2 linked regions of the Tamandua tetradactyla genome follow. The protein of the gene in region 1 purifies or fractionates together with the protein of each later gene. This does not show direct contact. Links are inferred from orthologs where the notes say so. Each region holds a gene or a part of one and is shown in the gene's direction. Other genes may lie near its edges.

The links.
Region 2: the proteins of DNMBP (region 1) and DNM2 purify together in Homo sapiens (co-immunoprecipitation; 3 studies listed by BioGRID and IntAct, with this or other methods). This does not show direct contact. The link is inferred for Tamandua tetradactyla from reciprocal best matches to the Homo sapiens genes DNMBP and DNM2.

The regions. Positions count from the first base shown.
Region 1 is NC_135339.1:61,444,064-61,447,969, reverse strand, and holds the start of DNMBP (dynamin-binding protein), read left to right. Parts: upstream 1-892; 5' UTR 893-1,055; intron 1,056-3,906. UniProt on the Homo sapiens protein: Plays a critical role as a guanine nucleotide exchange factor (GEF) for CDC42 in several intracellular processes associated with the actin and microtubule cytoskeleton.
Region 2 is NC_135337.1:91,084,158-91,088,063, reverse strand, and holds the start of DNM2 (dynamin-2), read left to right. Parts: upstream 1-1,381; 5' UTR 1,382-1,396; coding exon 1,397-1,665; intron 1,666-3,906. UniProt on the Homo sapiens protein: Catalyzes the hydrolysis of GTP and utilizes this energy to mediate vesicle scission at plasma membrane during endocytosis and filament remodeling at many actin structures during organization of the actin cytoskeleton.

The DNA.
Region 1 (3,906 bases):
GGCATTAGGGTTCAATTCTCTTGGGATCTAATCTTTCATGCCATCTGATTTATTTCCATTATAGCCCTCACCATACCCTGTAATTATCTGGTAGGTCATTTGTTTCTGGTCTGTCTCCCCACTCTAGAATGTGAATTCCAGGAGGGCAGTGCCCTCGTTGTCCAAAGGAAAGGAGAAACGATACATCTCAATGGGATTTTTGAGGTAAGTCTCTGAAAAATTCTTCCGAATCTCCTAGATAGATCGCGCAAACTGAAGGCACGGTAAGTCATGCCGTGTGACTTTCTGACCTTTAATACACAAAGGGAATCCTGTGGGGACCCACGAACGAGTTAGAAGTGTACTCTCAGCCCTGCTCAGTTCTTGTATTCTGCCATTCCTTGCTTTTACATTCTTAAACCGCGTCCTGACAGATTTTGCTCGGGGGAAACTATGAGACGCACGCGAACGCCACCGAGTTTCGTGTGACATGATAAAGGGAATTGCCTCGGGGAGCAAAGAGGACGACATAAACGAACAGGAATTGAATTTCTTCTCAATGGAATTTTGGTTTTTTTTTTCAGTCTGAAGGGTCGTGTTGGGGGACGAGGGAGCAGCCAGGGAGAGAAGGAAACGGGCGACGCGCCAGGGCAGCAGGTAGGACGGCACGTCCCGCACGCAGCGGACACCACCCGGGACGAGTGGGGCGGGGAGCGCGGGAGATGCGAAGGGGTCTCGGGCGGCTCAGCCCTCGGTGCCTCAGTTTCCCGGGGTAGAGGGCCTCGCGCCACCGCCCCCTCTGACGTCGCGGGGCGGGCGGGGCGGGGTGCGGGCCGCCAGGGGGCGCGAGCGCGGGGCGGGCGCCGGGTTGGTCCTCGCCGGGAGCCGAGCGTGGCGCCCCCGGGACCGCGCGGGCCGAGGCGGAAGCCTGGAGTGGGGGCGGGAGGCGGGAGGCGGGGCTGACTCAGACCGGATTGACCCGCCTGCAGTTTCCAGGGGCGGAGGTGACAGCGGGCCCCGGACCGGCGATCGCCGCTGTCCGCCGCGCCGAGGGACCGCCAGGCGCCGGAGAGCAGGTCAGGGGCAGGCCTGGGGCCAGGGCCGGGCGGGGAGCCAGGGTCGTTGAACCGGGACCGCGGACGGAGGGGTCCCGCGCCCGGAGGGACGCGCAGCGCAGCCGGGCCTGCGTTGGTCCCTTCCCCGCGGCGGCCGCTGCTGTTGGCCGGGAGTCCGGGTCCCTACTCGGACGCCTCTGGTCCAAGGTCAGGTCAGGCCCCTAGCGGGTCCCCTGGAGGTGGAGAGGCGGAGAGACCGGGTGGCCCCCCGGTCCGGGATGCGAACGTGGGCGTTTTTGATGTCCAGCCCAGGACTCTTTTCACTGCACCGCCCTGCTAGTCCCTCAAAGGGGCGGAATTTGCGAGCTGGAAAGGAATCTAGCAATAGTCCAGCCCCCTTGTTTTACAGATGAAGAAATTCTTCTAGCTTGTCTAGAGTCTCACATCCAGTCGGTTTAAGAGCCCATGATTTCTCTGTCAGGGTGACTCGAGGATGGATGGTTTCCGAAGTTAGAGTTTAAATTTGTTGGGCTACAGCTGCAAGTTTGGTGATGGTGGAGTTTTACAGTTATTCACGGATACCTACCTTCATTCTTGCAGCAGTTACTGATGTCCACCAGGCATCAATTTCACAGAGCACTTACCTTGAAAAGAGTTAGGTTGCTGGCAGTTGAATAAAGGAATACTGGGGTTACAAACAGGCCCAGGAGCTGTGGAGAGTGCTAGGTGTATAGAGTTTAACGTTTAACGCAATTTCAGTATCCCGTATTGTCTGTCTCATACAATAATGAAAAGTAAATATTTTTTGGCACTCCCATTATTCTGTAATATTGGTAACTGGCCTTTAGGTTAGTTGTATTCTTTTACAGTAATATGAACATCTTGTGTTGAAACACTTTTTTTTTGTAGTTAGTAGTGCCAGTGGTGTCTGGCAAGCTAGTGGTAACACAAATATTTAGGGTTTCAGCGTTGTTTAGATCTTCTTGTTTACAGAGCTGAGTTCTAGGGCGGAGTAGTGTGGATTACTGTGGATTAATCCATAATACTATTTTGCAAGATTGAAGTACCCCGCCACAAACAGTTGTGATTTCTCAGTGTTGCATTTATGACTTGCACGGCATGAATATATTCAAGGTGGTGAATTAAAGAATCTGTAAGGCCCCTTTCCATCTCTAAAATCCCCTGATTTTATTTAATTTGAAGCATAACTCACTACTTGTGAAAACAACCAGCAATTGTGTTTTCAAGTGTTCACACATCAGAGACTGAAATGGAGTGTTTCATACATGGTGGAGAATAGTTGAGGTCTGCCCTGCGAATGGGGTCTGTACAGAGCCGCAGATACCTTTTGCAATAAGCTGAGAACATTCTGACTTAGAAAATATAAAATTCTTTTATTCAGTGTTCATATTGTGTGCCTTTTTGACTGAGATATAATCGTGATCTTTATGGGCTACTCTGCCCAAATATGTGTGTTATTTCTTTTGTCTTGCAGTCCCAAAGCAGAGCCATTCCCTCTTCTTGTTTCGATCAATCTCTGCATCCTTCTTTGCCTTCCTTCTTCTCTGACTACCACTCTTACCTGCAAGACCCTTATCTCATTCTTCTCAACATCAACACAATTCAGAGCCTCCTTCAAGCACTGATTGAACTTATGCTACTTTTTACTCTTCTCAAAGAACATGATAAATCGTGAATCTTGAATCACTATTTAAGATCTCCTAAAAATTGAGATCATTTAAACATTTCACTTTTCAATCATAGTGCAAGACTTTGTGAAGCTCTGGTTCTGAAAAAGGGGTAAGTAGGCCAGGCTTAGATTTTTATGTCCTGAATGCTTAGAAACTGTGACACAGGAAGCCTCCAGAGCTGGTCAAGTCATTTATCTCTGCTTTAGAAAGAAACCCTTTCTGCGTGATCTGTAGAGAATTTTCAAATTATTATTCTTGATCTTTGCAGTCCATCACTGTCAGGCTAAATTAAGCAAAACAGGGTTTTTCAAATTACAGATAGTTTAGTGATAAATTTGTTGAAGGAATTTTTTTCTAATGATAAAATCACTGCAAGGGCAAAGTGGCGGCAGATGAGAGACGGTGGGCATGGGGCGGGAGGCAGATCACTTTTTCTAATGATAAAATAGAGTGTGAATGGAGACTTGCCTACCAAAAGTGTTAACTTTGGGTTTACTTTGTCCTTGATGCTATAAAAGGAAATCATAGAAGATAAAATGGGCATAGAGTAGCTAAATTGTGTTCTTTCTTTTTTCTTAGATTTGTTCTTCTAAATTGAAGGACATGACCACCAAGAACTGAGGCGACATGGTAGAGCAAATAGGGCGTTGGGCTAAGATTCTGAAGGCCTGGGTTTTATTCATTCAAGACAGATATTTTTTGAGCACCTGCACATGCCAGGCACTATTCTGGGATACAGTCATGAACAAAACAGACAAAGTCCTGTCCTTGAGGGGTAGATATTCTGGCGGGGGTAGGAGGAAGACAATATGTGAATAGACAGAAGTGTCAGATGATTGTAAGTACTCCTGATGATTTAAAGCAGTGTAAGTGGGAAAGGAGTGTGTTTGTGTGTGGTGGGAGATGGACTTTTTATAGATAATGACCAGAAAAGGCCTCTACTGAAAGTTTTTGATGTGAGACTTGAAGGAATTGAGGGAGTGAGCAAGTAGCAGAGGAATGAGTGTGTTTCCAGCCCTGATGCAGAAGTGTGCTTGCCATATGTGACCAACAGCAAGATCCTGGTGGCAGGGCAGTGCGGATGTGGGCGAGGGCAAAGTGGCAGCAGATGAGAGGCGGTGGACGTGGGGAGAGATAGATCAGTGTAGGCCATTGTAAGGATTTTGACCTTTGTTCTGAGT
Region 2 (3,906 bases), on another chromosome or scaffold:
GAAGCTGAGGTCGGAGCTGTGATCTGGGCCAGCCCAGATGATCCTAGAAAGGGAATGGCGGGACCTGGGTTCCATCTGGAGTGTGGAGGGCCCCAGAGCCATAGCCATTCATTGCCATAGGCTACATCCTTCTTTGCTCCTCCTGGCTGAGACAGGAGCTCAAGGGCGGGGCTCTCTGTGGAGGGATTCCTGTGCAGGGAGGAACCCATAGGTGTGGGGGTACGGGGGTGGAGCAGTGTCACAAGTGCAAATGGGACAGCCCAGTGGGCCCTGACCTGCACTCTGATGGGGAGTGGGGGTGGGGGCAGGGCCAGACCTTAGCTCCGTGAAAAATGAATCAGCTGGAAGATGCCAGTTAGGAAGATGTCACTTGAGACGGGTGGTAGTGAGGGAGGGTGTTTCATATTGGGGGTAGGGAGGAGGCAGCCGGTCATGCAGATGCTGCAGGAAGAGGGTTCCATCCTGAGGGTACCGCTGTGCAAAGGCCCTGAGGTAGGACTTTGCTTGGTGTTTGCGGAGCCTGGTGTGGTGAGACTGGAGGGAGTGAGAATTGGGGAGAGTGAGAGGAGGGGACGGGGCAGGTAGAGCAGCACATGATGGGCTTTTGCTCCAGATGAGATGGGAGAAATGGAGGGTTCTCAGCAGGGGAGGCCCGCCCCCCCCCCCCCTCAGGGCTTCACAGGTACTCGCTAGCTGCTGTGGGGCTGGGTGCCTGGGAGCTATGACTGTGTGGGTCCAGGCAAGCGATGATGGCAGCGATGGGGCCTGGGCTTTGGGTGATGGCTTTGTTTGTGGGGACAGTAGGCAGTTCAGGCTTGGTTTGCAGGTGGAACAGCAGGACCTGCTGTGGCTGGGGTGAGGGGTGGGAGGCACCCTGGGTCTCCAGCCTGTGTCAGGTTGTGCCCATCCTGCCTGCGCCTGGGTGGCCACGAGGGTGGGAGATGCTTGTCCTGGAGCTGCTGGACCCTAAGGCCTGGATTCCTGCAGAAAGGTGCTGGGAGGGTTGGGGTCTCAGGGGTGCATGACTGGAAGACCAGGCTCAGGAGGCTGAGCTTTGACCGCTACTCCTGTTCTAGCAAAACCAGAAAGGAGGCCCCTGGGGAGGCGGCGGGGGGAGTCAGCCTCGCTGATATCTCACCCATGTTCTCATCCCAGCTCTGTCCCTTCCCTACGAGTTTCCTGGGGAGGCCCTGGCCCTCTGAGCCTGGTTGACCCATCTGTGAAATGGGGCGGGGGGGGCGGCGTGTGATCCTGGCATCACCCCCTTGGGATTGCTTGAGGATTTCCTGCGCCATTGCCCAGTAAGGGGTTAGAACCCGGCCAGGTGGGCGGCCTGTGCCCTGAGTGGACTTCTCCCGTGGCTGTAGCTGTGCAGAGAGCAGAGCAGGCCATAGTAATGCCCCGTTATGCCCCCTCCCCCGGGCCCCAGCCCAGCCCCTTGGCTGGGTGTGTCCCACTGACTCATTCCTGGTTTCCTTATCTGTTTGTTTTCCCTCTCCTGGAAAGGGCATCCCCACCCTCCTGGGGACTAGAAGTCAAAGGCTCTTCGTGGGGCTTTGCCCTCTGTTCCACACAGCAACTAGACAGCCTCTGCTCTGCCTGCGGTGCCCCCTCCTGGCCGTCCTGGCCTCCCAGCAGGGAGAGCAGACCCATTTTACAGAGCAGGTAAGCTGAGGCTCCGAGAGGGCAACATAGCCCTCACCGGGTCACCCAGCCAGCTGGGCTCCCTGCAGGGATGGGCAGCGTCCTCCTGTCCCTCAGGCAGAGGTGGCAGAGCTGGTCTTGACCTGGCTGCCTGATTCCTGAGCCTGTGTTCATCCTGCTCATGCCCCAGCCACCTCCTGAGCACCTGCTACCTGCCAGCCTCGTCCTGGGAGCTGGGAATCCAGCCATGCCTGTCCCCAGGTGAGGGCCCATTGGAGGCCCTGCTGGTGGGCGTGGGGAAGGGGCCTGCACTTGGGAGAGAGGACTGCAATCCACTATATCTGTGCCTGAGCAGAGACAGGCAGGGCCTGTGGGGAAGGGTTTCCTGGCAGTGGGAAGAGCCCCTGCAAAGGCTTAGAGGCCAGAAGGAGGGCACAGAGACGTAGGGGGCAGGGGGCAGGATTGTGGGTGGTGTGGGCAGGGTGGGGCTGAGGATGAGGGAAGTGGTCAGAGCATGACTGGTCGTGTGGCCTTGTGGGGGCGGGCTGAGGGAAGAGACCTGGAGGCAAGGAGGCTGGGCCTTTTGGTTCAGAAAATAATGTGGAAGGAATCCTCCAGGCTGAAATGATTATAGTGAACACTTACTGAGTGCCTGCTGTGTGCTTGGCCTGTGTTCTGGGTCCTAGTACCCAAATGGGGGGGCGGGGTGCAGACAAGAGCATGCTCGTGCTGCGGAGGGAGTGGAGGGCAGAGAGGGGATTAGAACTGGGACCAGTCCAAGCAGCCCTCTGCCCACTGGGTCTGCCCTTCCTCACCTCCACAGGAGGTGGAGTGGCCCTGTCTGGTGCCCCAGAAACAGACAGGAGAGGCAGAGAGGCCAGCCAAGGTCGTGGAGCCAAGAGGCTGCCCTCTCAGGCAACCTGGCTGCTGTTTGGAAGGAGGTGAGGGGCTGGCCACTCCTGTCCCAGGAGGGTCCTAGGTAACCTCTGGGGCTGGGGGGCAGGGAAGAGGAAGCAGATGGCCAAGGCCTGACCGTGGCCTCCAGATAAGTGGACAGTCAGGGTTCTAGGCAGAGCTGCTTGGGGGGCAGCTTCCTCCCACGCCGGAAGCCCCAGGGTGCGCGCTCTTCTGCCCAGGCCTCTCTGGGCCCCTCGGTCCAGCTGTCCCCTCAGCTCCCCTCCCTGCCGCCACCCCCAGCCCCCCCAGACGGCCTCTCCTGCCTGGCCCCAGCGCTCTCTGGCTTTTCTTGGGCACCACCCGCATGCTTCTGGTCCTCCAAGGCTCCGATTGTCTGTTGTTCTTTGCTGGACTTTGGTGACTTCTGTGGCATCACCATTGTCCCCACGGTGCCTGGCACCACGGCCGGGCCCAGAGCAGTCACAGTGCAGCCCGTGCAGACGCCGGCTGTGCAAAGCCTCGTTGGTCTGGACAGCAGCCCGCGTCTCCCACCCAGCTGCTGGTGGCCCGAGGGGTCAGGTCCGGGGCCTCAGCTGCCCCCGGGAGATGGAGTTAACATCCGGGTCCTGGGGATTTTCGTCAAGGCCAAATGGGCCGACCCGCAGAAGGTTCTCTGCCCTGGGCCTGGCCCAGCGTGTGCTCCCTAGCTGTTGGTTGTGCTTTTTAATGTCATTTTATCTTTTCTTCTTTTGCTTTCGCTATTCTTTTTTAAAGTAATGTTTTGGACTCAGTAATCCACATGCATGCCGCAGAAAGATGTTTGAGAATGTGCAGTGAATCTCCGAGACCCGCATTGACAGGCTTTCGAGTTCTTCACACCTGAGCTGTTATTATTGGGTAACTAATAAGATTATAATCCATGGACAGATTTAACAGTGTGTTCATTTTTTATATTTTTATCTCCACAAGCATGTCCTCCTGAATTTGTTAGCGTTTGTGACCTTCTATTAAGAGTTTAACTTAGATGCAGTAAATCTCATAAATCTGAAGTACACACCTTGGTGGTGGTGGTGTTTTATGAATGAATTCTCATAACTACCAGACAGATCAAGGTAGAGAACTGTCATTGCGGAAAGTTTCCTTTGCGGTCATTTCCCCCAGGGGATCCGCTGCTCTGATTTCTATCACCTTAGACTAGTTTTGCCTGTTAAAGTCTGAGGCCACCCACCATGACTCAGCAAGAGAAACAAGGGCACATGGCCCTAGAAGGGTGCACGCAGGCATGTTCACAGCAGCTTCATTGGTAATGCCCAGAGCAGACAAGCTCAATAAAGCAGGGGCCCCCATGTGATGGACCCCAGTACC